2 linked regions of the Cricetulus griseus genome follow. The protein of the gene in region 1 binds, or shares a complex with, the protein of each later gene. Links are inferred from orthologs where the notes say so. Each region holds a gene or a part of one and is shown on either strand. Other genes may lie near its edges.

What was found.
Region 2: the proteins of Iffo1 (region 1) and DNA repair protein XRCC4 are in contact, whole or in part, in a crystal structure (PDB 6ABO), measured with the Homo sapiens proteins. The link is inferred for Cricetulus griseus from reciprocal best matches to the Homo sapiens genes IFFO1 and XRCC4. Residues at the interface, in NP_001317253.1 of Homo sapiens: Arg469, Glu470, Tyr473, Ile477, Gln479, Ile480, Glu481, Glu483, Leu484, Ala487, Lys488, Asp490, Met491, Arg493, His494, Leu495, Tyr498, Met501, Lys505, Leu508, Asp509, Met512, Cys515, Arg516, Leu518, Ile519, Thr520, Gln521; in NP_001304941.1 of Homo sapiens: Trp155, Val158, Gln159, Phe162, Glu163, Cys165, Val166, Lys169, Glu170, Glu173, Leu176, Tyr177, Phe180, Val183, Leu184, Lys187, Lys188, Lys190, Ile191, Leu194, His195, Lys197, Leu198, Ala201, Ala202, Arg205, Glu212.

What each region holds. Positions count from the first base shown.
Region 1 is NC_048601.1:21,280,873-21,285,380, forward strand, and holds the start of Iffo1 (intermediate filament family orphan 1), read right to left. Parts: upstream 2,810-4,508; 5' UTR 2,770-2,809; coding exon 1,985-2,769; intron 1-1,984. Other genes in the region: Nop2 (probable 28S rRNA (cytosine(4447)-C(5))-methyltransferase), read right to left, coding at 3,393-4,030. UniProt on the Homo sapiens protein: Nuclear matrix protein involved in the immobilization of broken DNA ends and the suppression of chromosome translocation during DNA double-strand breaks (DSBs).
Region 2 is NC_048595.1:308,960,593-308,964,405, reverse strand, and holds part of DNA repair protein XRCC4, read left to right. Parts: intron 1-1,224; coding exon 1,225-1,397; intron 1,398-3,813.

The sequences.
Region 1 (4,508 bases):
GAGAATGAATCATCGGGAGGCTCATGAGGATTCTGTTTGCTCTCCACCCAGACACATAAATGGCTGCAGTATGATGACTTCCATCCAACTCTCTCTCACCTTTCTTCATTTTTTGCAAGGTTCCCATAACTTGGGTAGAATTTGGGCAATTACTGTACATCCTGCATTTACCAGAGGTCTCTCCTACAAATAAATCCTATCTCTGAGTGGAATAAAAAAGGCAGGGGTCATTCTTGTGTTGGAAAACCTGAACCCCAAGAAAAAGGTCACACAGGCAAAAGAGCTGACAATAGGACTTGGGGGTGGGGCTTTGCTCATGCCCAGTTTGGTACTCAAGCTCCCCATGCTGTCCAGGCTAAAGATGGGGCGCATGGTGTTGCTATAACAAGCGCAGAAGGCAGGCAGGGGCTCTGGGGTGGAAGGGTGTCACATACTGTGCAAGTCTAGTCACGGGGCCACTGCACAGTAACGTGCTGCAGGGTGATGAGCTAATCAATCCCAGGGAATAACTCTTTGCTGCCCTGGACAGCTGCACCAAGGACAAATACCCTCTGTTTTAAACGATGCTCTGGAGAAGAGCAGCTGTTCCTAGGATTATAGCAGAACTCTAGAACTGTCAAGTGTTTCATCGCCTATATTAAGCCCTGTGGGGGCAAAGCTAGGTGCAGCCTAGTTCTGGGTGGTACCTAGATGCTGGGGCAACTAAAAGCCCAAAGATAATTATAACATGGCCACAGTCATGGAAGTCAGAGGGAGGACTGAACTTCAGAAAGCGCAGACACACATAATCGGGCGGATGCTAACAGCTTCCCAGGGCCTCCAGACGGTCCCACACACAGCTACCCAGACAGCAACCCTTGCCACCTTGGCCTTCACAGGCAGTCCAGGCTGGCCCGAAAGGGTCACATTAGCTATGATACTGAGGCCCCAAGCCTAGGCCTCCCTGACTGCCATCCTCTTCCTCCTCAGCCACGGCCTGGTCAACCTCCAAAGTCCTCACTCTGCCTGTGATTCTGTCCTATCGCCTGGTTACCACCCACCCTGGTACAGAGCCAGCATTCCAATGTGACATCCCTTCCTCCTAACTCTTGTGCCAACCTGTTAGGGACGGGGTTCCTCTCAGATAGCCAAACCTTCATCCTCAGAATACACTGGGCTGGTCCTGAGATACTCTATTACTGTAGGGTGTGCCCATGTTCCCAAGTTTTTCTTATTCCATCCCCCTGCTGGCTCTCTGTTCACAACTCTTCTGCGACAGCCTCCCTACCAGTTCTATAACAACTACCATCCCTCCTCCTCGTCCTAGGAGAGCCTGTACCCTTTCTGGTCTTTCTTTCCCTGTTTGTTTAACTGTCCCACGCAATGCTCTCAGGTTCTGAGAGCATTGAGCCTTGAGCCTCTCAAATGGGACCAACATGAGACCTGGGCTTCCTTTAAGGGAAACCTTGGGCAGAAGCAGTCCCTTCCTCACTCACTCACTCCAATTTCACTTAATTTTCCTCCAAAATTAAAACTACATCCTTCACCTCAAGTGTGGAGTTTATATCCTGAAATTGCCCCAAGGTCTGAGGCGGGCCAGACACGACCCCACAGATGCAGTGCTCTCTCGGTCGGACACGTCTCCCTTTCATACCACACAACACCCCACAGTTATAGCAGAGTCATGCAAACACTACAGCCTGCATAAGACAGAGAGACATGCCCGAAGAAAAGCATGAATTCCCAGTGTTCTTCTAGAAAGCTTCTAGTCACAAGCCTGATGAGAACTGTCTGCGGCTTCTGGGGCCCCTGCATCCATCCATCCATCCATCCATCCATGCATCCATCCATCCACCCATGCATCCATCCAACTGCTGCCCCAGCAGGAGCCATGGTTGTTGGGCCCCGAGTTCTCCGGCCTGGGAACCCCCACTAACTCCCCGCCCAGCCGTGTTTATTATGTGTGGCATGTCTTGAACCTTGTCCCTACTTTCCTGGTCCCTACCTTCTCTTGTACTCGTCCCGCTCTCGCTTCACTTTGGCCAGCACGTTGTACAGAGCGCGGATCTCGGGGGTGATGGTGTCGATCTGAACGCCCACCCCGTCAGGGTGTACCCACGACAGGCCAGGCCCTTGCACCAGCGTGGGTTCCAGTCCCGGTCCAAGCCGGCGGGCGTGTGAATAGGACCAGATGGTGCCGGGCATGAAACGGGTCGACGAGGAGAAGGCGGTGGAGGTGGAGGTGGAGGTGGAGGTGGAGGATGACGACTGGCAGGCCGCAGAGGAAGCGAGGGGTCCGGCCGGCGAGCGGGCGGGGGAGCCCAGTACCCGCGCTGACGGGGGGCACACAGCGGCTGGCCGGGAGCTCAGGGGCAGCCCCAGGGGCCGGATCGGGCTGATGAAGCCGGTCTGTACCGCCTGGTCGCGGCGGGCCAGGCCCCGCCTGCCCTGCTTACCCTCCTCCAGAGCCTGCTGCAGCTGCTTCTCCAGCAGCCGGTTCCGGCGCTCTAGCTCGTGCACCTTGGCTAGGAAGCAGCGAAACCGGAGGTTCAGAGTCTTGAGCACGTTGATGTTGGAGCCCAGGTCGTTGCGGAGAGCCATGGCTGCAGGGGGAGCCGGACCAGGCCCAGGAGGCGAATAGGCAGCGGGGCCCACCGAGGCAAGCGGAGCCGGGGGCAGGTCCCCTCCCCCGGCAAAGTGGTCCCCTCCCAGAGGGTCCCCCAGCGGCCCGGCCAAGCCCTGCTGCTCCTGCTGTAGGAGGAAGAGATTGGGACCGAATAACGGATTCATGGCTGCGCCTTCTGCTGGGAGATGGAGACCAGTGCAGCGGAGGGCGAGCATAAGAGCCAATGAGGCGTCTGCCGGATACGAACAACCAATCAGACGTCCCGGGAGGAGGGCAGAGGTCGTGAGGGCGGGACTAGAGGAAGCCAATGAAAGATCCTAATTAGAGGCTTAGCCCTGGACCTTTCCGGGTCTGTGGAGTCAACACTAGAAGGAAGCCGACTAGCCCTTCCCCGGGGAACTAGCCACTGCCTACGATTCCAGGCCCTCTGGTACCTAAGGGGCACCAGCAGTGGAAAACTTCCCTTCATCCCTGCCATCTCCTTGTCCCCAGTACCCTAGATTTGATTCTGTGGTTTTTTCCCTAGGAGACCAAGAAATGGAAGGAGCCTATCATTGACCTATATTGAACCATCATTCAATTTTCCGGCAAGAGCATCGATCGCAGGCCCACCTTCCTACAAATTGACAATACCCAGCACCCTAAAACAACACAACAGTGATTAGGGGTGAAAATATGTATATTAAATTTCATATGTATGCACAGTGGGGAGACCATCATTGCAGGAAGTAAGAATTCCAATCCAGAGACAATGTGAGAACCAGCACAGTCTAGTTTCCAAGTCCGTCTAAGGCTGGCTGCTGCCCTTCTTCACAAATTTCCTCCTTTTCGTTGGTGGGGGTCTGGTGGAACCGTGGGGTGACCCAGTGGGGACCTGGGGTCCCTTGGGGGCATCATCCTCTTTTAGGGAGGCATTGGTCTTGGCAGGATGATCTGGTAACTGCTGCTTTGCTTTTTCAATCTTTTTGGTTTTCCCCAGGGAAAGACCACAGTCCTTAAGCCCTGGGGAAATCTCAGAGGGTGAAGGCACAACAGGTGTTTCCGAGTCCACACCCTTGGGAGGGGCTTTCTGCTTTGGGAGAGCAGCTTCCTTGGAGGACTTGGATTTGGGTCCCCTTTGCTTTAGCTTCCTAGCCATTTTTGGTTTCCTGATCACTGCGGCTTTTCCATCAGGCTGACTGCTCTCCTGGGGCCGGGCAGACACTTGGGCCTTTGGGACAGAAGGTGCAGTGGATTCTGCACCTAGCCCTTTGGAGACGCCATTCAGTTTCTGGAAGGGCTTTCTGGGATGCTGCTGTCTCCCCAGCTGCTGCTTTGCCTTTGCCGCCCCACCAGCTCCCTTGGTGGGCTGACCACTGTTCTCAGACAAGGGAGTGGCCTGATCCTTCAGCTCAGGCTCCGAAGGGATGGCTGCTGCCACATTTCCTGTGGTAAAGATTAAAGAGATAGTTTGACCATTAAGAAACAAGGAGTCTGTTGGGTGGTGGTGGGGCATGCCTTTAATTCCAGCACTAGGGAAGCAGAGGCGAGTGGCTCTGAGTTTGAGGCCAGGCTGGTCTACAGAGTGAGTTCCAGGACAGCCAGAGTAGAAAGACCCTGTCTTGAAAAACAAAAGAAAAAAGGAAGGAAGAAGAAATAAAGGAAAAAACAAGGAGGCTTATTTTGCCCCCTCTGGACCAAGAATCCCACACATTAGGATGTGCTAACAAAGTGCCCTGTTGTTAAAGGATCACTGCCTATTCTCAAGCCAAGATGTTTTCATAGGAAGCTGCGCCCCCTTGAGGGCAGTATGTAGCAAGAAACTCTAAGGAGAAGATAAAAGAAGTTCCAGGTTCCATGCAGTCTAAGGGGATGATGGTAGGTCAAAGTCCCAGCTTATTTTTTAAATCCCAGTAGACAGGTT
Region 2 (3,813 bases), on another chromosome or scaffold:
AGGACCTCAAAGTTGCTCATTCTCTTCAGTTTTATTAGTTGGGGATCTTTGAAGTAACCTCCATCTATTGCAAAACCAAGCTTCTTTGATGGGGGCTGAGAACTAAACTTATCTTTGAGAATAAAGAAAGACACTTAACATACAGTTAGATTCTATATTGATTTAGGGAAACAGCAGTCCTACTCGAGGGTCTGTGTCTTCTCCACCCTCTGATAGTTGACTAGGTTTACAGTACCAGGCATCACTTCTATCTTATTGAGTACACCATAGATGGCTGATGATTATTACCATTACCAAGATAAAAAGAACTATTTAACCTTTGGGGATATCTTAGCAGGCCAAGTATTGTTTTGCTTTGTAGACTTTCCAGTTGTATAGAACTGTTGATTACATTTGTCTGTTGTCAGGTTGCATAGCATTTTCTGATACTATGAGTGTTAATCCTCAGAGGGAAAGCTTTCAGGTCAGTACTGGTTCAATTCCTTAAGGTCTGTATGGGAAGTGTATGTTATCTTCAGAAATATCGACTTCCTCTAAAGTTGTAGGGGTGTAGCCAAGGACAATGGAAGTATCTTATGTTTGGTGTTTCTCTAAGTCCCTTGACCAACAGTTTGAAGGCATTCCTTGCCTGGCTCTGGAGTAATTGTTTAGTAATCAATTGTTCCTGCAGGGAGTGTTATTATCCATGTGGCATAAATCCATTAAACACACACACACACACACACACACACACACACACACACACACGGACAGTTCCTAGCTCTGGATACATAGATTTGCGTATGTAGTTTGGCATAACTACAGAAGTTGGGAAAGTAAAGGGGTGTAATGATTGGAGAGGAAGAAAAAGAGCTTGTTGTAGGATACAAGAAGTGCATTAAAAGGGCAAAGGAGAAAATACTGAAGGGGAAGATATATATATATATATATATATATTATTATATATATATATATATATATATGTAGAGAGAGAGAGAAGAGAGACAGAGAGACAGAGAGAGAGAGAGAGAGAGAGAGAGAGAGAGAGAGAGAGAGAGAGAGAACAGGAGAGGGAGGAAAAAGGGACAAATAGCACTAAAGGTATTTTAAAAAGCCACAGGGAAACATTTTGATTTTATTATTTTTTCAAAAACCTGTTATATTTGATAAAGTAGTAGTAACAACTAAGTACTTGTTTTCCAATAGAAACTTATTATTCATTATTTTTATTAATCTTTCCCATAGTTTCTGAATCGGAGATTTCCCAAGAAGCTGATGACATGGCTATGGAGAAAGAAAAATATGCTGATGAATTGAGAAAAGCATTGGTTTCAGGATCAGGATCTGACACATACAAATTCATCTTTTCTAGAGAGTCGTGCCATTTCTCCCTTGAGAAAGAACTGAAAGATGTCTCAGTAAGTACAGCTTCCCACAAATTTGATTTTATTGATGGATTTTGTTTCACATTCAAGTAGCAGTTCTATTATTCTTAGAGCACTTCGGGAAATAAATACCAAGAAATTAGTTGGTACACTCATTAATATGCCTCAAATATATGTAAAATGCGATTCTATGTGTGTTTTCTGTATGTATGGATGTGTCTGTGCATATGCATGCATGAGTGTGTGTGTGTGTGTGTGTGTGCTGAATCACATATGTGATGGCCAAGAGGACAACTTTTGTGAATCAGTTCTTTCCTTCCCCAAGGCCTCTGGTGGTGGAACTTGGTCCTTCATCCTTGTTAGCAAGCATTTTTCTTTGAGCCATCTCACCAGCTCACAATGCTTCAGGTTTAAAGTTCATGAAGCATTTCTTTTAATACATTGTGAAAAGTACTCTTCAATATTTAAAATACTTTAAGTATTGCAGTTAATAACATGAATGAACAATTTTGAAAGAAGTGAGATAAAGAGTTTTAGACTATTGCATCCTGACTTGCTCAAAAGTAAATATGGGAAAATACAGAATTTCAGAAAGAAAGCAATACTTTTACCTTTAGCTATTCAGTAAGTGATTTGTTTTCTTTCTTAGATATCTTAGAAATTTTGTTTTATTATATTGTTGTTGTTTAATGATTCTTAATTTATTATTTTATGTGTCTTGGTACTTTGCCTGCATGTGTGTCTGTGTGAGGGTTTTGAATCTCCTACAACTGGAGTTACAGACAATTGTGGGCTGCCATGTGTGCTGGGAATTGAACCCTGGTCCTCTGGAGGAGCAGCCAGTGCTTTTAACCACTGAGTCATCTCTTCAGCTCCCTATATCTGCAATTTTAAAACAACATAGTTAGGTATAGTAGTACATACGATTAATGACTAAGGGAATATTATTTATATTGTCATACTTAAAAATAATGAAGGAGGGCTAACTCTGTGTCTCAGCTTTCCAAAGGTTCCATGCTTTCTAGACAAGCATATCTGCTGTTTCTGTGCAGTTCTGACTAAGGTTCTGGCTACTTTATTAGACTGTGCTTACTGTCTTTACATAGTGCCCAAATTAATTAGACATTAAATTTGCTTTTGCTCTTGGTTTATTAATCATAGATCTACATCTTAAGAAAGGGGAAACTTACTTCATTAGGCTCATTGATAGTAATGAAGAATTTGCTTTTTAGATAAATCCAATTTTTAAATGCTCTTAAAGCAACCTTTTAAACTCCGAATAGTAAAGCGGAATTATCAATCTGAGAAATCTTTGAAGAAATAAATTAAATTATTTTCAAATATGTGTTATTTTGGAGAATAATGTATAATGGCTGGCTTTGTAATTTCAGTTTAAGGGATACATAGTCACAATAGCTACAATGCATATTTTTCAATATATTGCAGTTATTAAAATAATAATTAAAAATAGGTGAAGGAGATCTGAGTTGACAACTACAGTTTTATTAATTGTGTTCTTTTCTATGGCCAATGCTCAATCAGATGATATTAAATACATAACAACTGCTGCCAGTTCCTACTCGTATTATGAAGTGGAACAGGGCAAACTAAGTAGTAGTAATTCCTATTCAGCAGACATTTGTTTTACATAAATAGTGTTATTTTGTGATGACACTTGTCAAGTTAGTGAGAAGCTTTTGGTACCTGTGATGTGGTGAAAGGCTGGGGCTCAGCAAGTGCACTGCTGGAGGACTTGCCCTGGCTGCTTGGTAGTTTTGCTGATTCTCTGAAGAACAACCTCTAATTCTTCATTAGTTCCATCATTACAATTGGCTTACTCTGTATAAGAATTGAAGACTAGCAATAATCCTGAAAAAATTCTTGTTTTCCATCATGAAATTAATCACTCTATCAAAATCAAGGTCTTGAATACTATGCTTTCAACTGATTGTTTGTTTGATTGTTTGTTTTTCTGAGAAAGGGTTTCTCTGTGTAACATCCCTTACTGTCCTGGAACTACTCTGTAGACTTGCCTGGCCTCAAACTTATCTACCTGCCTCTTCTTCCTGAGTGTTGGGATTAAAGACAGCACTAACATGCCTGGCTTCAACTGATTTTTACTAGTGATTTAACAGCATAAAAAGACTCAGGAATTTAGAAGAGTCCTTAGACAAATGGCCTTCAACCATCACATTGCAGTTTAAATGGGTGTCCTTTTATTTATTCATTGTGTATTTGTTGATAAGTTTATTCATGCCTGGCTTGCTTGAGAGAGATATTTTGGACATTTAAATGAGGCAAAACTTTTCATGCTAAGGTCAGCTAAGGATGCAGCTGAAACATTGACAAACATATTCTATTCGGTACAATACTGGGAATTTTCTAGTATGCCATGTGTTTCTGCAAACTGATTTCAGAGTGATACCATCATATAAATTCATCTGTTGGC